Canis lupus familiaris: one gene and its partners. The protein of the gene in region 3 interacts with the protein of the main gene of each other region in a biochemical or structural test. Links are inferred from orthologs where the notes say so. Each region holds a gene or a part of one and is shown on either strand. Other genes may lie near its edges.

What was found.
Region 1: the proteins of OIP5 (region 3) and MIS18BP1 form a complex in vitro, tested with the Homo sapiens proteins (2 studies listed by BioGRID). The link is inferred for Canis lupus familiaris from reciprocal best matches to the Homo sapiens genes OIP5 and MIS18BP1.
Region 2: the proteins of OIP5 (region 3) and HJURP form a complex in vitro, tested with the Homo sapiens proteins (2 studies listed by BioGRID). The link is inferred for Canis lupus familiaris from reciprocal best matches to the Homo sapiens genes OIP5 and HJURP.

The regions. Positions count from the first base shown.
Region 1 is NC_049229.1:22,848,061-22,858,077, forward strand, and holds the end of MIS18BP1 (mis18-binding protein 1), read right to left. Parts: intron 9,523-10,017; coding exon 9,374-9,522; intron 5,322-9,373; coding exon 5,234-5,321; intron 3,050-5,233; coding exon 2,995-3,049; intron 2,821-2,994; coding exon 2,717-2,820; 3' UTR 1,777-2,716; downstream 1-1,776. UniProt on the Homo sapiens protein: Required for recruitment of CENPA to centromeres and normal chromosome segregation during mitosis.
Region 2 is NC_049246.1:45,486,702-45,497,538, forward strand, and holds the end of HJURP (Holliday junction recognition protein), read right to left. Parts: intron 9,339-10,837; coding exon 7,754-9,338; intron 7,266-7,753; coding exon 7,145-7,265; 3' UTR 7,135-7,144; intron 6,894-7,134; exon of another isoform or gene 6,780-6,893; intron 6,548-6,779; exon of another isoform or gene 5,818-6,547; intron 5,243-5,817; coding exon of another isoform or gene 5,206-5,242; 3' UTR 4,944-5,205; downstream 1-4,943. Other genes in the region: MROH2A (maestro heat-like repeat-containing protein family member 2A), read left to right, coding at 268-441, 998-1,129, 1,800-1,902, 2,147-2,212, 2,301-2,674. UniProt on the Homo sapiens protein: Centromeric protein that plays a central role in the incorporation and maintenance of histone H3-like variant CENPA at centromeres.
Region 3 is NC_049251.1:8,670,243-8,681,160, forward strand, and holds the end of OIP5 (protein Mis18-beta), read right to left. Parts: intron 5,245-10,918; coding exon of another isoform or gene 5,149-5,244; exon of another isoform or gene 4,861-5,148; intron 4,855-4,860; coding exon 4,753-4,854; 3' UTR 2,672-4,752; downstream 1-2,671. UniProt on the Homo sapiens protein: Required for recruitment of CENPA to centromeres and normal chromosome segregation during mitosis.

The DNA of each region.
Region 1 (10,017 bases), on a different chromosome or scaffold from region 3:
TGAACTCCAGCCTACACTACTTTTTTTGTTGTTGAAATATATTCAAAGAAGCGGAATATTGGCTTAGACTTGGAAAATTAGTATAAATGAATTGTTGAAAGTGGATTTTATTGTGACCATAACAGTGTTATCTGTGATGCTATTTATATTTTAAGATGTCTCCATGTTTTCATCTGCCACATCTGAGCCTCTTCTGGTCAGTCTAGTGCTAATGCAGCCTTTAACTATGCCCCTCCCACCCCCACCCCCCCATTTAGAGTCCTGTATTCTCTCGTTGCCTTACTGTTTCTTCTGTTACACTACAGGGTAGTTGCACCAGGTTCACAGCAGAGTTTTTCTTACCTTAGACTAGGCAGGCACTTCAGTTCATGAAATTCAAATTGCTGTTCTCTTATCACGTGGTATAAGTGAGGCCCACAAACAAGTTGACTTATTCAAGTTTACTGGGAAATCTAGAACCAAAACTAGATGCAGTTCTTTTTCACTAAAAAGTTACTCTGATTGTAAACTTAGCTTCTTTGGGTAGTAGTATAATTTATTTCTTCAGAGAGCAGTGGATTTCATAGTTCTGTGGTTCAAGAATTCTGTCAAAGTCAGAAGTTCTAGAAGTTCCTGGCTTGTGCAGTTATTGATTTTTATCTATCAATCAGGCTCAAATTTACCCTTTAGTATCTTGCCTTGCTATAATGGACTGGACTTTCTCAACATTTCTCGCTACCGTGGGCAGGATTTAAGCTTTGTCAGTAGAAGGAAATAAAGGGCTTGTTTCTGGTTCCAGTGTGCTGCTTTGCTTTTTGCTCCTGCTACATGGTGTTCATGGCGCATGGGGGTAGAGACATTTGGTGGTAGTCTGTCCCAGCTACATGCCCAGAAGCATGCAGTTCCTCAGCAACTTCACGTTGACCTGGGCTGCTGGCCACCTTGCAGCATCTCCTCTGCAGACACCATTATGCTCAAATTCTTTGTGTCCAACCACCAAACGAAATATTCCATAAATAAAATGGCATGAGGGACATAACCTAGAGGATTTTATTTACTTACGCTTGCTGTGTACAGAGCTCAATCCATATTTAAGCTGCAACAGCCCTCTTTATACTCTCATTGGTATCACGTAACTATCAGCACTATTGATTATTAACTCATCTTGGAGCCTACTTTAAGTCTCCTTTGGAGGTTACTTGATAAGCCTTACTAGCTTATCTTATGACCTGATGGGAAGAAATGTGACTAATCAGGTACCTGGCAGGTGGGATACAACAAAATAGACCAGGAAGGACACTGAAGAAGTTCCAGCAGGACACAGGGAATGTGGCAGTGGTGGTGGGAGGCCACATTTTTTGGTTTGTGTTAAGTCTGTGCTATATCAAAATTATCTTTTTGTTTCCCATTATGGAATTTAACTACCTTCTAACTAACTCCTTAAAAAAAAAATCCATTAACATTAAGCAGAATAGTATAAACCCAAGTATTGGCAACTTAAGTTCTAAAACAGTATTTGACTCTAAAATAATCCCTTTATTTGTTCCATCCTCCATCTAAATTCTTTGTGGCAGAAACCATTATGATCTAAGTCTAGCTGCAATATTATTTTTAAATCTTGTGTTGCTGTAAATTCTATAGTTCTAGAACTGCTGATTATTACTAAACTCTTAAGAAACATGAGCATGTAGTTTTTAGTGAAAGTTCTGGTAATTTTTGAGGCAAGGAGCTGAACCAGTAACAGAATGCATATTTGTTTACTTTCTATGATCCAGTAATCAAACAACAACCAAAATATAAAGTTACAAAAGTAAACCAAGTTTATTTAAACAATCTAACTGGAGAGAAAGAGTAAGTGTGTATATACACTGTAACCAAAGGAAAACTATTCTATGTCAAATTTCAAAACAGAGTGGTAGAATAGGCTAAAAAAAGGTTTATTTCTAAAGGAGCTGTCTGAAAGGAAAATAATGTTACTATGACATGGCACGTTAACTTCTGGTGGTAGATCAACTACTTGAATGTTGAAAAGTCTAATCCAGTCGTTTTAACATTGAGACCAAATGTAAACTGCATATGTAAATAAGGCATAGTGCAACAAAATTTGTTCTCTGATTTCTACCTAATAAAATATTGAAAAACAACAAATTTACATAGGTTTCAGAGATATGCTAATCACAAGTTTTAAGAAAAAAATCACAAGATAGAGTGTTACATAGTTTTAACAACATGTAATTTAAACATTAGATCAATTCTGGCTTGTATACCAAGTGGTAACAAATGCTGACTTGGAAGTTTTCATGAATTTAGTAGCTGGCAGTACTATCTACTTCTCATTCTCCCTCCCCTATCCCTTGAGGATAGCATTTTCTGGGAAGCTTTTAAAAAAAATGGAACATGATTTTCTTAACGTAAACAAACTTGGACGGTTAAGAGATACTTATGTAGAATATTTTAATAATGCAAAACCCAGAAATTCATAAGTATCTATACAAGCAAAACAATTTCCTTACATTTTAGTAACCTGCAGCAATGAGGAATAGTTACAGAAAGATGTTTTAGATGAATTCAGAGTAAAACATCCCTCTGTTAACTATTCATCTCCTAAAACCTCTAAGGAGGAATCCACAATTTCGTATGATGGTATATTATGAAGAAAATATATGTATTCCAAAAGAAGATACAAATATATTATCTGCTTCTTGATAAAAATCCTGAAAATATTTTCTCATTTTTACTAAGAAGAATCAGAGTCTGAAAAATAATAATCTTTCTCTTCTTCATCTAAAGACTCCATAGCATTAGCGAAAAGTTTTCCAATACCAGAGTTTTCTCTTAATTCTGTAAAAAGAAGTTTAATAAAAGATTAATATACTTCTAAAAGTAATTTCAATGAAATTGAAAAGAACTGAGAAATTGAATAGATCTGCCCACTTCAGAGCAGTTAATTTTAGTACCATGTTAATACAGAGACTAACTTATAATAGACTGAGTTACAAAAGAAAAATAAATTACCTTTGTTAAACAGGGTTTTTTTTCTTGATGTTGGAGTTGAAAAATCAGTTTCAACCTGCAAGAGAGTTCATGTTAATAGCTAAATAGTACCTCCTGTGAGTTCTGCCTCAAACACAGACAAAATAAGTATGCTTCATCCTGAGTACCTTGAACACATGCCTATAATGATACCTAATCACATTATGATTATCTGTGAAATGTCTAATTCTTTTTCCACAGTTTAATCTATCTAGGGTAAGAACACTTCTTCAATGTTGTTTCCCACCACTGGCAAACATGACTATAAGAAAATATTACAAAAAAAGAAAAAAGAAAAAGGAAAAAAAATATTACAAATTAATGCTACAGGGGTGAAAGGATAGTCTATGGGCCTCTGACAGTTGCCAAAATCTAAGTACTCATGTTATTCCATTACACTAGCAAAATTTCAATTGTCTAAAATAGTAATTTATATCACAAAGTTTAAGTGTAAAATACATATTTATTATATCAATGCTTTTTAAACTTTTGGCCATGCCTGGCTATCTTTAAAAAATGAAAAGGAATAGAAAGGAAATATGACAGGGTATATAGTATAGTGGTGTACTAAGGGTAAAAATAGAGTTCAAACTCTTGAGATACAAACTCTTGTTCAGATTGTGACATAACTGTACTTTTTCTTGTGAAATGAGTTAAAAACATTATTCTATCATTTAGCTCTCAAAATCATTCAGCAACATTAAACCAGTATCATGATTCCTACATTGATACCATACATAAATAAAATGAAACTAGAAAGCCCAAGTAGCTTGTTGTCTTATAAAGCTGGTATGAGGAGTTAGGGCTTGAAATCAGAACTTTTAACACTAAATCCTTTGTTCTTTCTATCCTCACACACGACAAAATATTAGTCTATGAAAAAGGACTAAATCACAAGGATATTATGTAGTTCAGGAGACTGCTAAAATTATGACCCATTAAGAAAAACAGAAGTCCAGTAGTGTTTAGGATGATGCCAGAAATACAAAGAAACAAATTTTTTTTTTTTTTAATTTTTATTTATTTATGATAGTCACACACACAGAGAGAGAGAGAGAGGCAGAGACACAGGCAGAGGGAGAAGCAGGCTCCATGCACCGGGAGCCCAACATGGGATTCGATCCCGGGTCTCCAGGATCGTGCCCTGGGCCAAAGGCAGGCGCCAAACCGCTGCGCCACCCAGGGATCCCGAAACAAATATTCTTAATAGGAAGTGTCCTTATTAGATCTGTCCACGTGAATTTTTCATCACTGTGCAGAGAACAGACTGAGTGGATTAGGATCTTGCTACTAACTCAGTATGGTCCATGGACAGCAACATAGGCATTAGCACCTGAAGCCCGTTAGAAATGCAGAAATCGGGCAGCCCGGGTGGCTCAGCGGTTTAACCACCACCTTCAGCCCAGGGCGTGATCCTGAAAGACCCAGGATCAAGTCCCACGTCGGGTTCCCTGCATGGAGCCTGCTTCTCCCTCTGCCTGTCTCTGCCTCTTTCTTGTGTCTCTCATGAATAAATAAAATCTTAAAAAAAAAAAAAAGCAGAAATCTCAAATCCCTGGATCAGAATCTGGTGTTTAACAAGATCACTAGGTGATGCCTTTGCACATTCAAGTTTGTGAAACAATCGTCAAAGCAACCAACTTTCACAGGCAAAATAGGGACCAGAAGCCAACCAAATCCTTCTTGCTATGTTGATTCCAGGTCCTTTGCAACAAACCAAAATTTCATTCTCATAAAGAATGTGGGACTGGGAAAAGGGAATCTAAGAAATAGTTTGTCTACACCTTCAATTTTGGAGATATCCTTTATTTTTTTTATTTTTTTTATTTTTTTTTGAGATATCCTTTAAAGAGTTTAGTCTCCAGGTTGATTTTTAAACCTGTGTCCAGAAGTATCTACCATTTCCTGTGGACAAATGAAACCATAAAAATTGGATGTGATTATGTAATCCCAATGTTTTAGAAATTCTCTGAGAAGAATTATACTCTAGAAAGTATGCAATATAAATATTTCAACATGGATAAGGGAAGAAGACATTGCCATAGTCTGGTGAGAAGGAATATACAATCAGGTGATAAGGTGGTCCTCGATAAATTGTCATTCTCTAAGATTAACTACTTTGAGGGCAAGAACTTTTACATAACTTGTAACTGCCACAATCTGCCATGTATTACAGTTGTTCAATAGACATGATGAATAAATGAAGAATAAATATACTTACTGTTTTTTTCTTGATATTGCCCCAGACAATGCCACCTTTACTTTTATGGTTTTTTTGCATACGAAAAACATATTTATCACAATCATTCCTGTTTGAATACAAAATTTTAAGTCAACAGTTAACTACCATATTTCTATCCACAGCTTGAATAGCAACTGACAAAAATAATTTTAAATGTGTCTCAACCTTTAAGAAGTATATTTTCTGGGAAAAAGTGTATTTTCTGGGAAGTATATATATATATAAATTTTCTTTTCTGGGAAGCAAAAGCAAAACTAAACTTTTGGGGCTACATCAAAATAAACAGCTTCTGCACAGGGAAGGAAACCAATCCACACAAGTAAAAGGCAGCCTATGGAATGGGAAAAGATATTTGCAAATGACATAGCTGATAAAGGGTTAGCATTCAAAATATAAAAATAACTTACACAACACCCCCCCAAAAAAAATCCAATTAAAAAAAGGCAGAAGACATGAATAGACATTTCTCCAAAGACATCCAGATAGCCAATAGACACTTGAAAAGATGCTCAACATCACTGATCATCAGGGAAATATATCAAAACTACAATGAGATATCACCTTCCACCTGTCAGAATGGTTAAAGTCAACAGTACAAACAATGGGTGTTGGTGGGGATGTGGAGAAAGGGGAATCCTCTTGCACAGTTGGCAGGAATGCAAACTGGTACAGCCTCTGTGGAAAACAGTTTGGAGGTTCCACAGAAAGTTAAAAATAGAACTACCCTATGATCCAGCAATTATACCAGTAGGTATTACCCAAAGAACACAAAAATACAAATTCAAAGGGATATGTGCACCCCAATGTTTAGAGCAGCATTATTTAATACAAGTGCACATATATATATATATATGTAAATATATTAGGTATTTAATATATTTTATAAAATATATAAACATAAATCTACTATACATACACACACACATACTGGAATATTACTCTACCATATAAAAGATCGAATCTTGCTGTTTGCAATAACATGGATGTAACAAGAAAGTAGAATGTTAAGAAAACTAAGTCAGAAAAAGACATATACCATATGGTTTTAGTCCTATCTGGAATTTAAGAAACAAAACATGAACATGAGCCAAAAAAAAAAAAAGGCAAACCGGCAAACCAGGAAACAGACTCAAAAACAAAAGTCTATTTGTCTTTTCTACTTTGTAAAAAAAGTTTTTATTTATTTATGAGAGAGAGAGAAAGAGAGAGAGGTAGAGACACAGGCAGAGGGAGAAGCAGGCTCCATGCAGGGAGCAAGACATGGGACTCGACCCCGGGTCTCCAGGATCAGGCCCTGGGCTGAAGGTGGCACTAAACCACTGAGCCACCTGGGCTGCCCACGTCTTTTCCATTTTTTAAAAAACAATGGTGTACTGATGGAAATGGACAAAACATTTCAACTTAACATTTTAAAGGAACATTAAATAAGAATAGGAAATTATGGTTTTGCTCATTGTTCAGTGCTCTTTCTGATCACTATCTTGCTGCCTCTCTTTTCCAAAATTCACTGTGACTTCTACCTGGACTCCCTTTTATTAGACCTCTTACTCCTTTCTGTTTACTTGCTTTCCTGTCTACATCAAATAGTTAACCACTTTAAGGATATACCTGGTGATGAAAACCCTCAATTTATAGCTTCCAACTAACTCCTGAGTCATTTCTTTTTAGCTTATTTTCTCCCCCTCTCATTCTTAGCAAATAGGTTTGGCTCATTTTACAGACACAAATGGAAGCCACAGAGAATGGCTATTCTTTTTTTTTTTTTAAAGATTTTATTTATTCATAAGAGACATAGAGAGAGGTAGAGACATAGGCAGAGGGAGAAGGAGGCTCTCTACACGGAGCCTGGGGGCCAAGATCACGTCCTGAGGCAGATGCTCAACCGCTGAGCCACCCAGGTGTCTCAAGAATGGCTATTCTCATTTCCCCCTACAATTCCTAGTCCTTATGACAGTAAATACCAGCTGAACACCAATTGTAATTCTCTCTTAGCTTCAAGATCCTTTATGATCAATTATCCGTTCCTTTATGAAAATTTGGGAGCAACCTTAAAGGTATAACATATTTCTAAATGTGTGACTGTATTAAGATATTAATGTGAACCACAAGCACTGCTACATAGCTAGTGAATAAGCCTAGCCAGCTGTTCAAGGATCTGCACCTCATGAGTCCGTTGCCCTATATGAAATAAATGTTTTAGGAAATATAGTCATGATATAAATGAATCTACCATGTGTTCTATTGGGGAGGAGGGGAAAGTATATTTCCATCATTGCAAAAGTGATATTAAAAAAACCACCACCACCAAAACTCACTTCACTATAATTCTACAATCTAGAGATAATGGCTATGATGTTTATAGTCAAGAAATTTCCTTTCTGAATACATATTATGTAAACTGGGATATTGTTTATAATTTAACTCTTAGCTTTTAAAATCTATTGTCAACTGAACATTATTCTTGGTTGTTAAAAATTCTTGAAGGTATGATTTTTAATTGTTATATCCTATCCTATAATGTGGACAAATCCTCATTTCTTAACTTTCTTTATTGGACATTTAGGTCATTTCCATATCTTCAGTATTATGTTTCATGACAAACATCTTTGTCCGTACAAATGTACATACATACTTGCCCAAATGTATTTCCCTATAAGTGACTAAGAAAATTCAAGGGCCAAAGGGATGAATATCTTAAAGCTTTTGATGATTTGGCCAAAGTACTTATCAAAAGCTTTGCCCAAAATTATATTCTTAGTATACTTTCATCTGCAATGAATACTAAATCAAAAATAATCTGTAGATTTCTGGGGAAAAATTATGAAAATTATGTTTTTACCAAATAAATGCAAATTAAAATTTCACCGACCCTCAGGAGAGGACTGAATACTTTTTTCTCAGTCATTATTACTTGGCTTCTGCCTCACAACCCACAGAATTACTCTTAATAAAAGTCCTGCTTGATTGCCAAATGGAATGACTTATTTTCAGGCCTCATTTTTATTTCTTTCCTTCTTTTCTCTGTCATTCAACTGCTGGTTGTCCCTGATTTTTCTTAGTTTTATTTATATTTCAAGTATCTATATTCACATAGTTCAAAATTCAAAAAGTTTCCTTCTCTCATCTCCAAGTGATCTAGGTTCTCTTTGTAGGGATCAGTAGTGTTTTCAGTTATATATTCTTTCAGATATTTAATCAAAGGAAAGCAATTAGGTATATATACATGTATATATGCAAATATACACAAGTATACACACAGCCCGTTTATACAAATTTTACACAATTTACCACATTTACAGAAATGTTAACACATTATTCACTGCATTTTTTTCACTTACTAGATCTTGAACGTTTTACCATAATAGTACATTAAGACTTTCTTCATTAATTTCTATGGCTACATAATGTACCAGTTTGATTAGTCCCTTACTGATAGGCAGGAGCTGTTTCCAGACTTTTGCTATTATAAGCAATACTCTAATAAGCTGTATATTCACTATGTGAGAAGCAGGACTGATAGGTCAAATATGTGTATTTATAATTTTGATAGATACTCACAAATTGCTGCCCACAGAGACCGTACTAATTTACCTTCTCACTAGTGATGCATGAGAATCCCTTTCCTTTCCTCTTAATCCATAGGAGTGCTGCGTTAGGAAAATTAGCCTTTTCCTTTGATGAGTTCCATATATTCTTTTGTCAGATCACTGTTTATCTTTTTATTGCTTATGGTAGTTGGGTAAAACTTTTTATCTGGTTGACTTTATGATTCTTTTTGTTAGTGTATTCTGAGTCTAGCATCATAGTGTGAAAAGACTTTCACTTATCAATGATTATAAAATAATCCTCCAAGGTTTCTTTAGGTATATTTTATAGTCTAATTTGTTATGTGAAAAAATTTGATCCATTTAGAATTTATCCTGATGTAAAGTGTAAGTTGGGTCCCTACACTAATGAACAATATTCTCTACTTATTGAAACTGTCCATCCTGAACTTCTAGGAACTATTCTTGATTTTTTTGTTTAATGATGATTCTTCTCATTATCGACATCTACTCTCTGACTCATGAAATGTTAAATGTTGATGCAGAGAATTACAGTCTATATATGCATATTTACCTATTTATAGAAGCTAGCATGCCAGGACTGACATGGTGACACTGAGGAGTTTTTGCCAATGGAAAGACAACTGATGATGGAGTTGTTGGATTTTTGTCCATACTCAGCAGAATATCATCTTCTTCTGCACTGTCTTGGAGACTTGGCAACTAGAAAACAAATAATTGTTACCAGCCAGCAGGCAACCCTAACATGGAATTTCTCATTGTCACTAAATATTCTTAGGTGGGCTGATAAGTTGTTTTCCTCCTTATAATTTTCCAGCTGAGATCTCTAAACACATTAGTAGTTAACAGAGCCTCAGCCTCTAAAAAAAACTTTGGTTCTATTGTGTTAAGTGGAGACAATGACACCTATTTCTAAAAGTTGTGGAAAGACCAGGGATCAGCAAATGTTTTCTGTCAAGGGTCAGATAGTATATTTTAGGCTTTATGGTCCATACAGTATCTGTCCCAAATATTCAACTCTGCCGTGAAAGCAGACATAGCTATGTAAACAATAAATATGTCTCTGTTCTAATAAAATTTTCTTATAACAAATGTGGTCTGCCCGGTCTGACCCATGGGTTATGGTTTCCTTACTTCTGGGTAAACAGAACAAAACAGAACTAATTCACTGATTACTATGCTTGGCACTTAATAGGA
Region 2 (10,837 bases), on a different chromosome or scaffold from region 3:
CGCCGGGCCTGGCCCTGCACCCCGAGGTTCTCCTCCCTCTGGACGCCCAGCTCCTCTGCTGCTGGGAGCTCCCACCGCAGCTCCCGCCTGTGCGACGGCGGCCCCTCACCCCGCGCAGGCCGTGACCCTGACCTCTGTCTCCCTGCCGTGGACTGGGGTGCTCATGCTCAGCTAGTACCATGTCTCCGGCCCTGGGGTCCCAAGAATCCTGCCGTTGTGAGGACTGCAGGTGTCCACCTGGCGTGGGGGTGCTGGGGGCTCCCCTAGGTCAGTGAGGGGCATCCTGCGGTACGCTCCGACACCTGCTCTCCCTTGGAGACACTGGAGAACCCGGCTGGGAACTGTCACCTCTCAGAGATGCTTTCCTCACAAATCCATCAGTGGCTCACACTGTTCTTTCACGCTGTATGGCGACTGCCCTGTGGGGCGTACTTCTGGAAGGTGATGGAAGGAGCAGCCAGGAGGGGCCAGGGCAGGGCCACCAAGGGGAGGTGAACCCCGGGGCTGGTCCCAGCCACACTGCTGCCACTCCTGTCCCTGGGAATGGATAGCCCAGCCTCTCCCACCCCGCAGCCTCCTGTCGTCCCCTCCTGTGGCCTACACCCGCTGGAGGCCAGAGGCCAGGGGCCCTGGTGGCTCGGTGCTCAGCGAGGGTCTAGGGATGAGAAAGCTCCGCCTGGTCCTACCAGTCCCGGCCAGGCTCCTGACCCTGATGTCCCCGACGTCCCAGATGGCAGGTCCCAGGCAGGGCTGCCCAGGGCACGGAGGTGCTGGCTGAGGGTGCAAGTGGGCTGCATCTGCCTCCAATGGGTTTTCCATAAATGCACACGGAGGGCTCCGGTCCCGGGTACCCTTCCATGAGGCTTTCCCGGGGCTGCCCTCTGGCCCACGGGTGGAATGTCAGCCCTGCCACCCCCACCCCCGGGCCCCGAGAGCCCCTCGAGCCCCTGGGTCTGCCTGACGCCCTCCCTCCATTCTGTGCCGCGTGGCCCCCCAGGCCTGCGTGGCTACCGTGTTTCAGTGTGCACACTTCTGGGGCTGGAAGGCGCCGGAGAGCAGCTCAGGCCGCAGTGACAGCAGCACGGCCGACGAGATGACCGTCCTCCAGACAACGCTCTGCTCCATCCTGGTGAGGAAGCCGAGGGCCCTGGGCCTGCTGGAGGTGGGAGCCCTGGGGTTGGGGCTTATGGTCGCGGCCGCCACAGGCTTCCGTCCTGTGACCCGGTGCTCACCTGTCGGACCTGAAGCCTCCAGAGCAGCCCCGTCCAACAGACACAGGATGCAAGCCTCGTGCCCGTACGTTTTCTGGTAGCCACGTTAGGAAAAGTGAAAGACGTGACACCAGATTGAATAAGAGAGTTTACTTAACCCAGTGGACCCAAACCGTTGTCATATCAACATGTAATCAATGTGCACATTTTTATTTTTATTTATTTATTTATTTTTTTTAATGTGCACATTTTTAATGTGATATTTTCCTTTTTTGAGTTTCTGTCCTCAAAATGCAGGAGGCTCTTTATACTTAATTCAGACTAGTCACATTTCAAGTGCTCGAGGGCCACACGCGGCCAGAGGGCCACAGTATTGGACGGCCACGCAGTTTGTAGACAATGTCATCTCTTCTCTGGGTCAGACGATGCACCAGGGTCCGAAGGTCCCTCAGTTGTCCAGCTATTTGCTGTGTGATGCTGGGATGGGCACTAGCCCCTCCCGCGTCAGACAGATGGGAACGCGCTCCGTGAGCAGCCGATCGCTAGGGCCTCATCCCCATGGCTCCGTTCATCCTTTGTCTTTTGCAGACTCAGAAAAAACCCGCTGTGCTCTACAGCTTCTTGCTAGGAACAATGACCTATGTTAGTAGCAACTTGCCAAGGATCAGAAGCGCTGCGTGCGACCTGGCAGGTGGGCGAGCGAGCAGAGGTCTCCGGCCGCGGGAGGGCCCGAACCCGGGGCCTGGAGCAGGAGGGGGGCAGGCAGCAGAGTAGGGGCCAGCCCCCCTTCTCGGTGTCCGATTCCACCGCATCTGGCTGATTCTCACTTCAGCATCTTCAGCGGAGCCCTACACAGATTGTCTCAAAAGGTGAAAGGGAATCTCTCGCTGCCCTAATATTTGTGAGCTGGGCATTTCCCCTCGCTCTCGTTCCAGGCGTTATTATGAAGCAGATGTCTGCACATCATCTGAAAAAACTGGACTTTCCGGCTTTGCGGGACTGTGAGTAGTAGAGACGGCTAACCTCATCTGGGGAAACTTCGAGAGACCCCTGGGGGAAGAGCCAGCCGACCCTTCCTTGTGTAATCAGGGCCTGCACGGGGGCTTCCCAGGAAGACAACTATTTGGGCGTGGAGTCCTTCCGTACCCCAGGCCTTCTGCCCGGCTCCCCATCACGAATATTTGCGAAATGCATCCTCCCTGATTCCTTCAACTGATCCGCATGGAGCTCGGGTTCTGTGGGTGATCTTTGTGTCCCCCCTAGAGGCTAGCAGAAGGCCCAGATGGGGGGACGTGTGTGCAGACACAGCTCCACCTGCTGTCTCCTGGCTGCAAACACAGGGGTTCCCCTTCCTCAGCCCGCGGGAGCCCCGCGCTGTGACGATGGTGGCTTGGGGGGAGCAGGGGGCCTTCCACTGGCTCAGCGGCCCCCGGGGCGGAGGGGACGGCCGAGCTGGGTCCTGATTGTGTCCCGTGTCTGCTCACTCTCAGCTCTCCAGGAGCTGCAGCTGGACTCGGATCCCGGGGTCCGGAGGGCAGCCCTGGAGACTCTCAAAATCTTGGATACGTGTAGTCAGCACCTGCTTTTGGCTTCATCCGGAGGATTTTGCTAGGTGGTTCGAGTGTAAAGTGTAAACTGCGTCCTTGGAGGGCCAGGCTGCAGCTGGAGCACGGCAATGCAAAAATATTTTTAATTTAGTTAAGAAAAGCATCATTCTAAAATAATCAGTGTCCCTTTCTTTCCTCCCCCTTGAAATAAACCCCCATTGTCATTGCGAGTGCAGATTCCTGACTGTCAGGTGACAACATCCCAGAGCCCAGACAGAGGGGTTTAGTCCCAAGAGAGCGGTTTTATTCCCGCTTCCCGGGAGCGTGCGGGTGTCAGACTGCCCCTTCAGCCCAGGGGGTCAGAATCCACCTTTGTTCAGTGCCACCCAGCCCTGTGCCAACCAGCGAGGAGAGGCAGGCTGCCGCAGTCTCTGCCCCTCAGGACCCCATTCTTGAAGGGAAAAGAGGCGTCTGATGCCGGGGACTGTGACCCAAGTAAGGAGGGCCCAGCCAGGGTGTTAGTGCCCTAGTGGTGCGGGCGTGGGGAGGAATGGCCACTGGCCGGGGATGATGCTGGGGTGCTTCTTTCCAGGGCCTGATCCTGGAGACCCGGGATCGAGTTGCACATCGGGTTTCCTGTATGGAGCCTGCTCTCTGCCTCTCTCTCTCTCTCTGTCTCTTATGAATAAATAAATAAAATATTTTAAAAAAAGGAGAGAGTCCTGAGAGGACCCTTGAAAAGGCAGTACCTCAGAAATGTAACGTGCAAGGTGTTTCGCACACACTCCCCACCTCCACCGGCCTGGCACCGACTGGTGGCAGCAGGGGGGTCATGGGATCTCTTCTGTTGCTGGACAAACTGGAAGAGCTATTTGGGAGGGCGAGTTGGCGATCATTAGGGGAAGCTGAAGACACACATATCCACGACACCGGTATCCACGACCAACTCACCGCTAGAGGTCTGCTGCAGGGGAGCCCATGCCCGTGCTCAAGGATCACGGCTGCGTGCGTCCGTAGCAGCAGACACCCAGCAGGAGCGTGGAGGAAACCAGCTGCCTAGACTCTTGAAATACGAGACACCCACATCCATCAGCTCCTGTCAAGGGCAAACACCTCTTGGTGAAACCAAGCTGCAGAGAATACACAGACCATCCCACGCATCAACTGTAGTGTCCTATGTGCATGTGCATGCGTGCTCAGGGATGGTGGTGGTGGTGTGACAAGGCACAGTTGTGGGTAAGGGTATTTTTTCTGACCAAGAGCAAAGGATGGGTCATGCTCCTTTTAGCAAGGTGCAGGCACGAAGGAAAGGTCTAGCATCCCAGGGGTCTGTGCCAAGGAAGGATAAGCTGCCTGCAAGGGTAAGACTCCTGGCAGGTTCTCAGCGCAGGTCTTCTGATTCACGGCTCTCAGGACTGAATGCAAACCCCCAAAATTCACACATGGAGGCCCTAACCCTGATGTGATGGTACCTAAAGTAGGGCCTTTGGGGGGGTGATCAAGTTCAGGTGAGGTCCTGAGGGCGGGGCCTGCACGAGGAGGGCCCTCAGCAGAGCCAACTGTCCGGGCACCCACTTCTGGCCTCCAGAACTGTGCAAAATACATTTCTGCTGCTTGGGCACCCGGTCTGTGGATTTATTCTGTTAAGGCAGCTTGAGCTGATTCATGCAGAGGTGATGTCCTGGCATGAAGGCGTCGGTGGAAAGGGAACCATCAGAATCAGAAGGGGGCAGGGAGGAAAGGCGTGCAGAATTTAATCTCATTTTGACCTTTTATTTAAAAGTCTGCCACACATGGCAATGCATGGGCTGACACTGTGCTCCTAATGTGAAATATTTTATTTAAAAAGTCACCGTGGTACCTGATTATAAGCAGCGCCAATGAAAATCTGAGATGTCAGGGACGCCACGTGGCTGTGAGGTTGGGGACCATCCCAGGAGTGTCTGAGCACACTTTCAGCTAACGTTATGATGTTAGGAATTACTTTTCAGGGTTACTGTTTCAATTTGCTACCTGCTAATGTGGAAGAGACCAAGCCTTTGGCTCTGAATTTAAACCTTAAACCATCGTCTCTGTGGCTTACAGGAGTTTCAGAGCAAAGGAGGTTGTCTAACCAAACAGGAATGAAGAGCATCCCGAGGACGTGTCTATATTTTAAAAAGAACACAGGAGGAACACAGGCCTATAAAGGTCACGTGAAAAATTTTAATCGAGTAACTTTATTCAAATAACTTCTATACCAAGAACTCAAAGAGTCATTTCAATGGGATCAGTTTCACTGACATTTGCTTTGAAGGGCAGTTAAGTGAAGCCAGTTCTCACATATTCTTGAGGATTAAACACACACACACACACACACACACACACACACAGGAAGGGGGAAGATAGACAACTCTCTAAAATAACTCGGCTATACGTCTTCAGCTTTCAATTTCTCTAATACAAAGTCACTTTTCTCTTCCATCTTGAAAGAGGTGTTCTTTCCTTTAGAAAAAAAAGAATGAAAATAGTTTCAGTAAAATTCCATTAGAATTCCCAAGCCATCAAAAGCATAACTGTTTTGTATCGCATATGTTTGTGCGTCCACTACAGACAGTAAAGGGGCAGGGATGTGAAAGCCCACCTGATGGTAAACCCCTCCCGGGCAGCCGGGCAAGCGGGCGGTTACACCCACGGCCTTCGAATCCTGGCCTGGCCCCCGACACCCGGGTGAACCCAGGACTTAGAAGGCTTCAGCTACATTCCCTTATTTGTAAAATAAGAGACAGAACCCGCCTGTTGGATGAAACCCATCTCATCAACGGGTTCATGCGTGGATTAAGAACGTTCTCTACAGCCTGGCACCCAGAAAGGCACCCAGACGTTAGCCATTAAAATCCCTTCTGTAGTCACAGCTCATGAAGCTTTGGTCCCTTTCCTCAAGACATTTGTAATTTAAGTAGGAAAACAAGGAAAAATGTGGAAAATGGTTAAGGATGTTTGTATCACAGTTCTAAGACGAAACTGCAAAAGGCGTCCAGGGGGCGGCCACCATGACTTATCAAATTCCAGGGGCGCACCAAGGGCCCCACAAAGGGCTGAGTCCTCCTCCAGGTGCTCCAATGCCAGGCAGAAGGCACTGCTCACGGCTGTGACCTTGGTGGGCCGTCCCTGCTCCAGGCACCCTCGCTGGGCAGGTGAACGAGAGAGCCAGGCATCCAGAAGGGGGATCTCCTGAGGTGGGAAGGTGGGTCGGGTGCTGGTGAGCCAGAAGAGGGCTGGGGAGCGACCCGCTGAGCTCCAGGGGCTGAGCCAGCAGGCGGTGTGACCTGCCAGCAAATCTGGGGACGAGGTGGGAAAAGCCAGAGTTGAGCCTGAGGAGCAGGACGGACACTGCAGGAGCAGGTGCAGGCTTAGACGAGCGGGGCCAGTGGACAAGGGAGCCCTGACATCTGACGGGTCAGGGGCTGGGGGACCCCGGGAATGGCTCTCACTAGAGGCGCTGCCTTCGTGACAACCCTTCTCAACTGAGAAGGAAGGTCATTCTGTAGGGTCACTGGTACCCACCCTCAAGTCTCCTTGGAGTCCCTGCCATGGTCCCTGAAAGCCTCGGCCCCACAGGACTCCCTGTGGCTCCCACTTACCCTGCTGAGGGCCTGGTGTGAGGTGGGTGCAGGCAAAGAGCACAAGGCCCAGAAGAAAGGGAAAGGATCTCATGCTATCGGGGGAGGGCCTCCTGGGGCGTGGGCAGTCCCCTCCCTTTCTGCTCCAGCTCCATGTCTGGCCTCACCAAGGCCCCGGACCTCAATCCTTGACCAGAAAGATCAATCACAACGCAGGTCTGGTTAATCTGACAAAGGCTACCACCCACCTGGCTAAGGCCACGGGACGTGCTGGTGGCGGGAGCGGCTTCGGGGAGCACAAGCCAGATGGTAGGTGGAGAAAACAGGAGCAGCCCAAGAAGTGGAAGAAGGAAGAAAGACCAGACCACGATTCTGACCCTGACCTTGACGTAGCCGCAGGAGCCGGGGTGGCCACTTACACGTTGTGCTCACTCGGAGGAGGCAGCTGGCTCCTGCACCCAGCCTCTGCTGTGGCCAAGGCACTGCAAGGTTTTTGCAAATATTCTCCGAGGGGAGCCGTGTGGGTCTGAATGCTGAGAAGTATAAGCAAAGGCAGAGAAGGACCTGTGGGGTCTGAGGGGTGGTGACAGTGACAACTTGGGGCTTATCTCTGAGAGAAACACACCTGCCCCTGAGATGGGATCATGGCACAAAGAGAACACGGGGCGTCCAGGGCACACGGGGTCCATCTGAACGACCGCCGAGGAGGGAGCAGGAAGTGGTCTACGTGGCCTCGCCTGCCCACACCACCAACGCACAAACCCCCAAACGTACACTCGAGGAGTCACGTGTCTGAATCCTGGCCTGGGGATACACTGAAGTGCACGCTGGAAAGCCTGGCGCTCATGTGAAACAGGTGAACAACCCGCCGTGATGTGCAATGCTCCCCCCTCCGCCAAGCTTCTCTGGAGAAAAGAGAGTGGCACACGTGTGTCACTGAGGGGTCCACACAAACCCAAGCGGAGGGCGAGGTAGGACAGCAGACAGACCTCCCCGTGGAGCACGGAGATCGTGGGCAGGGCAGGAGCGCGGGGCCGAGCAGGCCGCTCCCGCTGTCCCCAGGAAGGAATCCAGAAATAGAAGGAAAGTCACTATTTCCAGATCAGCTTTGTGGCAGCTGCTGCCTGAGACCAGGAGAGGCTGGGAGGACAGCCTGACGAGGACACCAGTGAGGCTTTTCAGAGAAGACCCCTGAACGCACTCCGGCGGGAAAAGTGTAAGATGTTCCCAGTCGGAACATTCTCGGCTCCACCTCGATGCGTCTTATACATGAACATGCTCTTGGTATAAATGCTCGTTTCAGAGGAAGGAAAAGAATTTGGGAGAAAGCTTGGAAACTGAATGCAGAAGAATCCTATTGCAAAACACCCACATTCAACCAACAGAAACGCACCTTCTTTTCCCAGGGGGGCTGGCGAGGGCTGGGCTCTCGCCCGGCCTCAGGGTGGCCTGGCCCACCACACGCGACGAATCCGGGGAACTGGCCCACTGTCCATACAGCAGGGAGTCTGATAACTGGCGTCTCTTTGGAGGGGACTGGTGGGCCCTCCTGGCCGTGAGCATGAAGCACTCGAGTGTGGTTGAGCCCGGCGTGCTTTCTCTGCTCCGCTGGGGTGATGCTGACAGCTTTGGGGGACCCTGGAAGCCAAAGTCTGGTTTTAATTTTTCTAAGATGCCTCCTTTTGGATACGGGGCTTCCACACTTGATCTCTCTGGAGGTGCTCCGATACATAAAGGCGCCTGGGTCCGCTTCGGCGATTTCTGGCAATACTCTCGATGAAGCTTGTCAAATTTTTCTTTAATTTCACTGTAACGATCCCTTCCGCAGCTTAGAGGCAGTACCCCTGCTACTGAGCTAGTTCTGCTGGGGGATAGTGACTTTCCAAGTATTCCAAGATTGTTTCCTTGAGAAAGAAGGTCCAGCGTCTGCTCAGAGCGGCTGAGACTCTGCGTGGAGCTGGTCTCTGGAAGCGAGGGAGGGGAGCTCCTCCTCTGCAGGCGTCTCCCTGCTCCAATAGCTCCTTCACCCAGGTCCTCAAAAGCCTCATTTGACCTCTTGGCTTCGGCTCTGCAGAAAAGCCCGCTGAGACTGCGGATTTCTAAGGCCTGGGGGCCGCGAGGGCTCGCTGGGTCACCCCTGTACATGGCCACAGCCGAGGGTCCTGGGGGGGCAGTCAGGCAGGGCTGCTTCCCGGGGCTGGGGCAATATTCCTGATGAAGCTTATCAAATTTGATTTCAATTTGCCTGTAATGATTCCCTCCCTTGCCTGGCAGTACTCCTGGTCTGGAAAGGATTTTTACAGGAGAAATTAACCATTTTAATGCCATGAATCTATTTTCCCGATCAAGACGACGCACTGCCCTGGCATCTCCGTAAGTCATCGAAGAACTCCTCTGGGACATTAAACTTCTTAGCCCCTTAAACTCCCTCCAACTTGGATCTAATTTGCAGACCTTGAGTTTGTTTACTTTAGGAAAAGCTTTTTCCATTTTTAAATCTGCTTTCTGGCCAGAAGCATCTAGTACGTTCTCACAATCTCTTAACACTTCCCTATTCTTCCCTGGCTCAGAACAGGGAGGGAGTCTGTCCTGGGGACCCCTCCGAGAGGGCCCGGCTCCCCGGCAACGCGTCCTGTTCATTCTGCTCTTACACTTGTGCCTCCGCCTGGAGTTCCAGCTGTGAGCGATGAACGAGGTTTTGGTGGAGATGATGCACGACGGCTTTGTGCTCAGCAGCCGGCTCATGGAGTGCAGCATGCCTGCGTACAGGTCGCTGATCGTCACGTCACAGATGTTGTCAGCCTCAAGGGGTGGGCTGCTTGAGAAGCTGCTCCCCCCGGCCCCGTGTAGCCAGAGACTGTCGCTTCTAGGCACCAGGGCCAGGTCTGCCGAGCAGGGGCGTGAAGGATCACACTCTCTGGGACATGAAGCTGGCTCAACTGGGTCGCCAGGACTCTCTCCAGACACGTCACAGCACCCTGGAGGAAAACATACACAAAGTGATGTGCGTGCGTGTCATCTGCAGAGACCACGCAAGTAAAGGAGGGTGGATCATGACCATGACGCTGTTTTTAAGCAATACAAAAACCAAGACAGAAAGTCCAGGAGAATGTGGGAATAGATTCTTCTCAAACTTAAACCCAGACTTCCCTAGAGGGGCCTTCCTTCCCCAGGTGATGGTTTACACACTGGATGCCTTTTCAAAGTCTCACTAGAAACAATACAGTGACACTGTTTACCTGCGGGGCTGGGGAAGCAGGGGAAGGCACAGGGCTCCCGAGACAGATCTTCATGCAGACTTAACTTTCACATCATGTTAAATGTGTTATGTATTTAAGAAATAATATTAAGGGACGCCTGGGTGGCTCAGTGGTTGAGTGTCTGCCTTCATCTCAGGTCATGATCCTGGGGTCCTGGGATCGAGTCTCACATCGGGCTCCCCACAGGGAGCCTCCTTCTCCCCCTGCCTGTGTCTCTGCCTCTGTGTCTCTCATGAATAAAAAAATAAAATCTTAAAAAAAAAAAAAAAAAGAAAGAAAGAAAGAAAGAAAATTAAACCAAAGATAAGGAGAACCCTAAAAGCAAAAACAGACACAGAAAGGACCCAGGTGCATATCAAATAAATAACGGAAAGAGGAAAAAGAATCCAAATGACTTTGAACACAATATTCTGAACGCGTACCCTCAGAGGGATACGGTCTGAGGATCAAAGAGCTGCTTGGAACTCCAGAACCTTCCTTAGCAGGTTGTCGGCAAGTGGTGGCAGGGGCCGTGACTCCAAACGGCTCCATGCTGCACGACCAACCAGATGAACACAGGGTTTTGGTGCTGGGGATCAGCGGGGCTGGAGCCGGGGTGAGGGGATGACGTGCTCAAAATTGACGGGTCGGGCCACAGGACATGGAAGCCAGCGTGAAGGGCTCCTGCAGCCTGCATCTGGGACAACTCGAGCATTAGTGGTTTCTAACATGTGAATTAAAAATAAAAGTCTAGTTCTTCTTGGTTCTAGAAAAAAATTTTTTTTTTTTAAATAAAAAGCATGTAGAGATAAACGAAGAAACAGAATTCAGCAAAGAAGTGAGACGGCTAAGCTTATATATATATGCAACAACACCAACAGGTGCACATGGGAGGAATGGCAGGACCAGAAAAATGTGACTTTGCAGCAGGACTCAGGTAGGAGTTGTGGTCTGACGCCCAAACCATGGGATGTGAGGATTGTGGGGACCCAGGTGATCTCAAGGGGAAACCCAGACAACTCTGGGGGAGGGAGAAACCTGGGGGATCCTTCCTTGGCTAAGTGCCCAGGCTTATGCATCTCCAACAACGGGACAGAGAGACGAGTAGTATTTGTGCCAAAAATGTTTAACCTGAACTTAACCTTGAGAATGTCCAGAGAAGTCCAAATTGAGGGACATTCTGGAAAATTATCAGTGGACAGGACTATTCAGGGAAGTCGTGATAGGAAAAGTGCCGA
Region 3 (10,918 bases):
AAGAGCCAAGGCAGAGACCTGGACTGAGGTAGGCTCCAGATAGCAGAAAAGACCAAAGATTTGGGTGTTGATACCAAGTTGTAGCAGTTTCTGCTATAGTCCAAGGAAACTGGCAGCCATCTGAACAAAGAGGCATTCCATTTAAACTTAGGTATTCCCACCTTTAGAGCCAACCTTATGCTAGGTAATTAGCAAAATGTTTAGTTTCTGGTAAGGAAATAGCTAAGTACAGTAATAGTACTAATAAAACCACTGCAGGGAATCCTTCCTATCTGAAATATATAAAGCATTTTAAATGCTTTTACATTGAATATTTAAATATTAGCTAAATTAATTAAAGAGGCTTATTAACACGGAGATCCTTGGGTGGTAGCGTGTGTGGCTGAGTCAGTTAAGCATCTGACACTTGATTTCAGCTCAGGTCTTGATCTCAGGGTTGTGAGTAAGCTCCACTCTGGGGGTGGAACCTACTTAAAAAAGAAAAAAAGTTCCTTTTTGATTCAGGGGAAAGTTATGTCAAGTTTAAAGTAAGAAAGTAGACCTTAAAAAAAAAAAAAAAAAGCAGATCTTATAAACTTCCTTGGGATTGGCTATCCTCAAATGGAGAAGAACCTAAGCTATGTCATTTTTGTGGTATAATCACTAAGAGTTTTCCCTGTGATTTATGACCATTCATTTAGCACACACTGATATACTCCAATCCCAGGTACTGTGCTAGATGTTAGGGTTACAAAAATGGAGATAGTCTTTACTGTTAACTCAGGAGCTTAAAAGTTTACAACTCAGGAGGAATTTCAATATGCAGTTTTATTCTTAGGACTACAGAATTTTGAAAATACTGTATTCAACATATACAATGCTAAATGGTATCACATTGGAGCAAAGTAGACAGTATCTTAATATAAATCATTGATGTTTGTTAGACTTTCATAGGAACTTTTTTTGTTTTTAAGATTTTATTTATTCGTGGGAGACAGAGAGGCAGGCTCCATGCAGGGGGCCCGATGTGGGACTCAACCCCAGCACACCAGGATCACACCCTGGGTATGAAAGCAAGCACTCCACCGTTGAGCCACCCAGGCGTCCCTCATAGGAACTCTTATACCACCCAAAGACTCCTTTAAAAGGGGAATTAAAAAGCCAACCATTTATAATATCAGTGTAACATTTATGGGAGACATAAAATCAAGACTGTAAATGCACATACATGCCTTTGACTTTCCCACTTTAGGACTCACTCTTACAGAAATACCAGTACAGATTTGCAAAGATAGGTACAAGGGTCCAATACAAGAATGGTTAGGTTTGGATACATTCACATCACTGAATCATACAGGTCTTAAATAAAATAGTTTGCATATGGGCTGGTGTGGAAAGTTGTGATATTTATTGTGTGAAAAGCAGAATACTGTGAAAGATAAAGCTTTGTTTTATGTCTAATACATGAACATCCACATGCATAGAAGATATTTTTTGAGCACCTAGTATGTGCTAAGCACTGCTGTAATTACATTAGATGTATTTCTTAATTTATTGAATCTTCACTACAGCCCTAGCTATTTTTTAAAGATTTAAGTAATCCCTACAGTCATTGTGGGGGCTGGAGATCAAGAGTCACATGGTCTTCTGAGCCAACCAGGCACCCCTGGCTTTTTTTTTTTTTTTTTTTTTTCTTTTAAACAGAATAAGCCTGAATTTCTCAAAAAAGCTTCATTTTTTAAAAAAGATTTATTCATGAGAGACACAGAGGCAGAGACAAAGGCAGAGGGAGAAGCAGGCTCCATGGAGGGAGCCTGACATGGGACTCAATCCCAAGTCTCCAGAATCTGGCCCTGGGCTGAAGGCAGCGCTAAACCGCTGAGCCACAGCTTGGGCTGCCCCAAGCTTCAGTTTTTAATTTAGCTTTCTGACGCTGTGCTTGTGCTTTCAACACTTTCACAATGATTTTCTGCTCCTCAATAAGGAAAGCATACTTGATCCCATCATGAACACATACATGGAACCGCCACCCTAGGCCCTGCCGACACATTTTCTCATTGTAGAGAACCTAATAAGAATTGCAGGTCTCACAGCATGTACTTAAAGTCGGCCTAGGCACATGCTACATGTGAATTTGGGGGCTTTCCCAATCTTCCTGGTATAAAGGTAAACGATTCTATCACCAGGGTGATTCTATCACCAGCCTAGTTTTGTTGGAGGCTGTATTGTAGGACAGCCTTTGATAGTATGTCAAATGCTGGGACCATTCTGAATGCCTGTGGATGCCGTCCTCCCCAAAAGGAAAAAACCAACCCTAGTTTTTTGTTTTGTTTTTTAAGATTTTATTTATTTGACAGAGCCAGAAAGCAAAGCAAGAAGCCTGATGCAATGTAGGGCTCGATCCCAGGACCCTGAAGTCATGACCTGAAGGGAGATGCTTAACCAACTGAGCCACCCAGGCACCCCAAAACCAGCCCTAGTTTTAATCCCTATTTTACAAGAAGTGTTGAAGTAAATTCTTCGTGTTCATGGCTAGTAAGATCCAAAACACATGTGAATAGAAATAATTTGGCTCTAGAGCTTCCCAGCATGCTATCCTATGCCTCTCAAAGATGGAAAGGGAAGTGTACTTTGCACCCTTTATTTTCTATTTATATCTGCAATTTTTTTTTCTAGAGTAAGCATTACTGTAATTTGTATTTAGGGGGAAAATATCTAAAGCCAGCCAGCTTAATTTGATGTTAAGTTTAAACATTTACTTTTTTTTTTTTTTTTTAAGATTTGAGAGAGAGCATGCCAGAGAAAGCATGAGCAGCGGGGAGAGGGAAAAGCAGGTTCCCAGCTGAGCAGGGAGCCGGAGATGGGGCTCAATCCCAGGACCCTGAGATCATGACCTGAGCCAAAGGCACATGTCAAGCATGTAATTTTCTATTGAACTCTCTGCCAAATCAGCAAGTCCAGAGATTACGAAAAATAGCTACATAAGAACATACCCACACACAAAAAAATCCCAGGATGATTTAATATAGTATTGATTTATTAGGTCCATTCTTTAGAAAATACGAGTTTTTCTAGTACTTGTTTCTTTTTAAGATTTTATTTATTTATTTATTCATGATAGACACAGAAACAGAGACATAGGCAGAGGGAGAAGCAGGCTCCCTATAGGGATCCCGATGCAGGACTCAATCCCAGGACCCTGAGATCACCTGAGTCGAAGGGAGACACTTAACCACTGAGCCACTCAGGTTCCCTCTGGTACTATTTGTTGCCAAAGATTTCACCCTTATTTATGGAATCAAATTTTGCAACTCAAAAGCATAGAGCAAATCAGAATTTTCTTGTTTAAAATATTTCTAAAGGGAAATGGCTTTATGCAATATAAAGTAGAAAGAATGGAAAGAACTTTAAAAATGGCTGCCAGCTACATCTGAACCAAGTCAACTTTTCTAGACACCACCACTTGGCTGTTTCTTATCTGGATTGGGCTCTTGCCAGCCCCTCAGTAGTCTGCTTGCTTTTCTGCCCCTATAAACCCCTTCTCCACAAGACAACCATAGCAAGGTTCTACAAAAGTGAAACCAAGGCTTCCATTGTTCTTGGGATAAAAACAAACATCCAGGGGGCATCTGAATGGCTCAGCAGAGGAGCATCTGCCTTCAGCTCAGGGTGTGATCTGGGGGGTCCCAGATGGAGTCCTGCATCCAGCTCCACATAGGGAGCCTGCTTCTCCCTCTGCCTGTCTCTGTGTCTCTCATGAATAAATCAATAAAATCTTAAACAACAACATCATCCAATAAGTCCTTGTACCCTCTGGTTTCTGGCCACTAGTTCACCTCCTGCAGGCCTTCTTTTAAGGGCCTCTCCACAGGTCCCCCTCCATTCCCTAATTAACTCCTAGTCTTTCAGACCACTGCTGAAATCCCACTTCCTCAGAGCAGCCTTTCCAACCCCAGGGGTCCGGTAGCTGCTTCATGTGCTGGTAGCTCTAGGTCTCTTTTCTTCAAAACCTTTACTATAGTAATAATTTCACATGTATTCATGTGGTTGTTTGAACGTCCACCTCTAATGAGATTAAAAGCTCTGTGCAGGTAGAGAGTGGCTCTTTTTGCTTACCTTTTATCCCCAAAGTTAGTAGACTTTTATTAAATGAATAATATGACAAGGTACTGAGTGTAAGTGGTATATAAAGCAAAATATGAAAAACAGCATTTTGGTGAATGTTTTATCATTTCTCTCATTATTACCTGGGTAGGCTCAGTTTAGAAATGAAAAGAGAAAGATAAATTGTATATTTTCCAGTTAACTTACTGAATATTACCTACAGAGTATGTTTGTACGTATATTGCATGTAAGAAAAAAAATGTTTTCTATCTTCATCATCACAACTGCTCCATGTAGGAATAAAGTAGTCAACATGAAATACAACTCTGTTTTCATAACAGCCGTATATCTTTATGTCAGACCATTTGCAGGACACTGCCTCTTAACCTACATTTGCAGTAAAATATGTATTCAGAAACAAACATTTATGAAATTGATAAGCTAAAATAAGTTCTTTTATTTATGATAGTCACACAGAGAGAGAGAGAGGCAGAGACATAGGCAGAGGGAGAAGCAGGCTCCATGCACCGGGAGCCCGACGTGGGATTCGATCCCGGGTCTCCAGGATCGCGCCCAGGGCCAAAGGCAGGCGCTAAACCACTGCGCCACCCTAAAATAAGTTCTTAAGGCAAATAGCTATGAAACCTGGGTAGGGGTTTCCTTTGTTTCTCATTTTCTAGACAAAGCTTCACAAATCATTTGGAAAATCAGCCTCAAGGTGAGAATAGAGTTCACATCTCTTCTTAGCCAATCTTTCTTCCTTGAGAACTCCTGTTGATGAAGACAGCAATAAGACCTGAACCTAGTTAAGCTTTATTTTTTTAAAATTTATTTATTTATGACAGTCACACACACACACACACACATACACAGAGAGAGAGAGAGAGAGAAAGAGAGAGAGAGAGAGAGAGGCAGAGACACAGGCAGAGGGAGAAGCAGGCTCCATGCACTGGGAGCCCGATGTGGGATTCGATCCCGGGTCTCCAGGATCGCGCCCTGGGCCAAAGGCAGGTGCCAAACCACTGCACCAACCAGGGATCCCCCTAGTTAAGCTTTAATCCTGGATCAGTTTTCTGGCTTGGGCTGGTCAGGAGTTCTTTCCTTCAGAATCTTCATCAGTGAATATAAACGAGTATGTGTTAACATTATCTTCTCTTTGAGCTGGGAAGAAAAATAAATCGGTATCAGGGCATCTTGAGCTTAATACTTATTTTGATGATTTTAGAAGCCACTTCAAATTTAAACCAGTGGTTGATAGCTGGTAATGTCTCAACACATTACATAAATATGCTTGTCCTATTTCTTTCTTTCTTTTTTAGATTTTATTTATTTATTAGAGAGAGAGAGAGAGAGGCAGAAACACAGGCAGAGGGAGAAGCAGGCTCCATGCAGGGAGCCCGACCTGGGACTCAATCCCTGGTCTCCAGGATCACGCCTGGGCTGAAGGGGGCACTAAACCGCTAAGCCACCAGGACTGCCCTATTTCTGAAAGAACTTTATGCAACAAACCTCAAGTGCCCAGTAAGATCCTCAGATACAAAGTTTCATGTGAAAAAAGACCAGCCACTGCTGAGCATCACTGCTTCTCCTCCTCCCTCCTTCCTACCCCTTATCGCCAGGTTTAAGTGCCAAATATTGGGAAGGAAGGAAGACAAGAAGAAGGTGGGGTAAGAAAGCTTGTGGAGAAGAACCTCAACTACTCTTCCTCTCCTTTTCTAGGGGCAAGAATCTAACTTTTTTTTTTCTTTGTTCACAGTAACAAATGCCTGTCTTCAAAAGTAGCCCTGGTTGTTGGGTTAGGAACTTGTGTTTGTGGTAATTAGGTTATTTTTGACAAGTTCTTTCACCTAAGAATAGCTATATCAGGAACCAAACTTAATGGTATTATTCAGCTTAGTAAATAAAGTTATCATGGAATACAGAATTATGGATAACAACCTTCTGTTGGGGATCCCTGGGTGGAGCAGCGGTTTGGCGCCTGCCTTTGGCCCAGGGCGCGATCCTGGAGACCCGGGATCGAATCCCACATCAGGCTCCCGGTGCATGAAGCCTGCTTCTCCCTCTGCCTGTGTCTCTGCCTCTCTCTTTCTCTCTCTGTGACTATCATAAATAAATAAATAAATAAATAAATAAATAAATAAATAAATAAATAAATAAAAACAACCTTCTGTTGAAGACAGGTTAACAACACCATCAACAATAAACCATAATTTGAACATAATTTGCACCATTCATAAAATCTGCTTTATATTATCATTTAAGACACAAGAATAATCCATATTCATTAGGAAATGCTGCTTAGGGACGCCTGAGTGGCTCAGCAGTTGAGCTTCTGCCTTTGGTTCAGGGCATGATCCTCGAGTTCTGGGATTGAGTCCCACACCAGGCTCCCAGCATTGAGCCTGCATCTCTCTCTGCCTAAGTCTCTGCCTCTCTGTCTCTCATGAATAAATAAATAAAATCTTAAAAAAAAAAATGCTGCTTAAATTAAAAAAGTAACTCTAGAGCCTCCCCTCCCCCCCCTTTTTAAGATTTTATTTATTTATTCATCAGAGACACAGACAGAGAGAGAGAGGCAGAGACAGTCAGAGGGAGAAGCCAGCTCCAAGCAGGGAGCCCAATGTGGAACTCGATACTGGGACCCCGGGACCACACCCTGAACCAAAGGCAGACGCTCAACTGCTGAGCCACCCTGGCATCCCTAGAGCCTCCCAGTCTAATTGCAGTACCATTGGATGTGGTGAATCATTTCTCTGTTGCCTTCAAGATTGTTTACTCTCCTCATTTTTACTATGATGTATTGGGGTATTATCTCTTCTGTGTTTATCCTATAAGTCCTTTGTGGACTTATTGAGGTTTTGGATATGTAAATTCAGGTTTTTCATCAAATTTGGGGTTTTTTCTACTATTATTTCTTTGAATATCTTTTCTACTTCTCTGTACTCCTTTTGGTATTTATTCTCTTTACCAAAAAATGTTTAGGTATGCCTGATGGTGTCCAAGAGGTCTCTTCAATTCACTTTCCTGCATTTTTTTTTCCCTTCAGTCTCATCAATTTGTCTTCAATTTGCTGATTCTTTCTTTGGGCAGCTCAAATCTGTTCTTGGGCCCCTCTAGTGAGTTTGTAATTTTAGTTATTGTACCTTTTTTTGTTGTTGTTATTGTGCTTTTCAACTCCAGGATTTCCAACCTTTTTCTTTTTTCTTTTTTTTTTTTTTTATAATTTCTAACTCTTTGTGGATATCCTGTATTTGATGAGATATTGTCATCATACCTTCCTTGACTTCTTTAAGCAGTTTCCTTTCGTTTTTTGGACATTTATAGTGGCTGCTTCAAAGGCTTTGTCTGCTAAGTCTAACATCTGGGCCCTTTCCTAGGCAGCTTTAGATGCCTGCTTTTTATCCTATTTATAAGTTATACTTTCTTCTTTGAGTGTTTTCTCGTTTTTTTTTTTGTTGTTGTTGTTGCAAACTGGACATCTTTTTTTTTTTTAGGTTTTTTTTTTTTTTTTTTTAGATTTTTTTCAGTAATCTCCACACCCAACATGGGGCTCGAGCTCACAAGCCAGAGATCAACAGTCACACACTCCACCAACTGAGCCAGCCAAGGTGCCCCACAAACTGGACATTTTAAGTAATATAGCCAACTGTGGATACTAAACACCCACTCTTCATCTTCTTATTGTCCTTTATTTATCTGTTTTCGTGAGCTGGCTAGACTATTTCACTGCTATCTACTTCCCCCACTGTAGGAGACCATGCTGCCAGTCCACAGAAAACAAAGCCTTGGGCAGGTGCGGTCACCTAGAGGACAGTGGGTTCAGCAAGCTGTCTTTCAATGTTGCCTTGGTCAATGTCAGGCTGTCAGCCTCTGCTGGCATCATACCCGAGCCTTCCCTAGTTCCTGGGCTGATTGCTCTCCAGGTTTTGACAATGCCCTGGGACATAAATTGTTCATCAGTCTAATCCAATTAAATTCAGGCCCCACCTTTGTAGGTTAGTCTTTTAAAAGACTGGTAGCCAGTCTTTTTGTTGTTGTTCTGATCCCAGGGGGGCTCTTCTTAGCTGTGTATTCTCTGATTCTGTCTGGTAAACTTCTAACTAATCTATGGTTTAGCTTGTTGCTCTCATGGAACTACCAGCTTCCTCTTAATTGCTTACCTCAAAATGTCCATTTTGGGCTGTACTCTTAGACTTGAATGTCCCCAAGCTTTGTTTCAAATAAAGTCAGTTCCCTTGAGTGGTAGGGGAGGGGGACACTTTGGAGTTCTGTTTTTACAATCTGCCTCTTAGCCCAGCTCCTCCCAACCTAGGGGCCAGTGTCTCTTGGAATGACACCCTTACTTTACAAGCAGAGTGCTGGGTATAGATGCCACTTGTCATCTTCTTGGCTTACCTCGGCCAGTGTGAGACCTCTGCTCTACATGCAAGCTGGGGCAAGAGTGAATGGGTTCCTAATACTTAGCTTGCTGTGCCTTTGATAGAACCTGTACCTACAAATGGCCTTTTTTTTTTTTTTTTTTTTTTTTTTTTTTATGATAGTCACAGAGAGAGAGAGAGAGGCAGAGACATAGGCAGAGGGAGAAGCAGGTTCCATGCACCAGGAGCCCGATGTGGGATTCGATCCCGGGTCTCCAGGATCGCACCCTGCAAATGGCCATTTTTGACTGGAATAGAGCTTTTGATGAGAATTACTGATGCCTGCCACTCCTGGAAGATATCACAGCCCTCAACTGAGAGCTATGGCAAAAGGGATCCCTGTGTTCTTGGCTACAGCAGCCCAGATAGAGCCTCCTGCCCTCTCTCTAAGGTAGAGAGGTATGAGAGGCAGTGAGCAGGCTGTGGCACAAATACCACAGGCTTTCACTGTTCTTACTGAGGTTAAATGTGTTCTTTTTTTTTTTTAAAGATTTTATTTATTTATTCATGAGAGACACACACACACACAGAGAGAGAGAGAGAGGCAGAGACACAGAGGGAGAAGCAGGCTCAATGTGGGATCGATGTGGGACTCGATCCCAGACCCCAGAATCACGCCCTGGGCTGAAGGCGGCGCTAAACTGCTGAGCTACCTGGGCTGCCCTAAATATATTTTCTAAAGTAAGTATCTCTTCATTTGCTTTATTCCTTGAAGAACATTTCCTACAGACTTAAAATGGTTGGGTTTTTTTGTAATTTTATTCAGTTATGGCAGTTTTGCTGGGGGTGGGGGAAGGAGGTCCATGGAGCTCCTCTGGCTGCCATTCCAGAAGTTATCTCCCACAGGAGTGAAAAGTTACTGACCCCCCTCATCAACTTTGTTGCTTAGAGCAAAGGTTAGCTAACTGTGACTGCCCATTTATATCAAGTTTTGCTGCAACACAGCCACACCCACTTGTTTATAATACTGTCTGTGGCTGCTTCTGCACTGCAATGGTACAGTTGAGCACTTGAGAATGGTCACAAAGCTTAAAATATTTGTCATCTGGTCATTTATAGAAAAAGTTGCCAACACCTTGCTTAGAGCATGGTTTCATAAGCTTAGTTAGCTATGCAAAACAACACCCTCAAAAATCACTCTTTCCTTGTCCTAAAAGATTCTTAAACTTTAAAAAAAAACAAAAACAAAAAACACCACTGGTTACAAAATGTATAATTAGCAAGGAGTAATATATTAACAATACTAAAAACAAAATGAACGATAAATTCTCAGGTTGGTCTTCTGAGCTTAAGTTATAGCCAAATTTCCACTCAGAATGCATCAGTAAGCTACCGAAACAAAGTTGCTTTTTTCAACTTCAAAACCATCAACAGCTAGAAAACTCATTTAAATAAGAATTCCTAATGATTGTTTCACCACTCTTTCCTGAGACATCTAAACAAGAAGTGCTGTGGAAAGGACAGATCTGGGGCACCAAGTTGGCTCCTTTGGAGGAGCCTGTGACTCCTGATTTGGGGTTATAAATTCAAGCCCCATGTTGGGTGCCAACTATTTAAAAATAAAATCTTTAGGGGCACCTGGGTGGCTCAGTGGTTGAGCATCTGCCTTTGGCTCAGGTCGTGATCCCAGGATCCTGGGATCAAGTACCATTTCTAGCTCCCCGCAAGGAGTCTGCTCCCTTCTGCCTATGTCTCTCTGCCTCTCTCTCTCCGTGTCTCTCATGAATAAATATATAAAATCTTTTTTTTTAATTTAAAAGTAAAAATAAAATCTTTAAAAAAGAGAGAGAGAAAAAGGACAGATCTATGAAAGGTGCAATATCCATTCCCAGCAGAGGAGAGTAGTATAGGAAATACAGGATCTAAGCAGCTTTCTTCCTCCTCCTGAACTGGACCTTACAATATTTGGTTTTGTGTCACAAATTCAATAAGAAATGCCAAACCAGGTATAAAGGATTATTGGAGTATTATACCATGTCATCACCACCAAATTCACTGGAATAAACTGCCAGGAGTTGTCTATACAGGCATACCTCATTTTATTGTGCTTTGCTTCATCACAAAGATCCATGTTTTTTATAAGCTGAAGGTTTGTGGCAACCTTGTGGGAGAAAGTCTATTGGCATCGTTTTTCCAACAGCATTTGCTCACTTCATGGCTCTGTCACATTTTGGCAACTCTCAGAATATTTCAAACTTTTCAATATTATTATATTTATTAGAGTGATCACTAATCAACAATTACAACTTCCTGAAAGCTCAGATAATGGTCAGCATTTTTAGCAATGAAGTATTTTTTAATTAAGGTATGTACATTATTTTAGACACTTAAGTAGACTACAGTATAGTATAGTGTAAACATAACTTTTATATATGGTGGGAAACCAAAATAATAATTTGACTTGTTTTTATTATGGT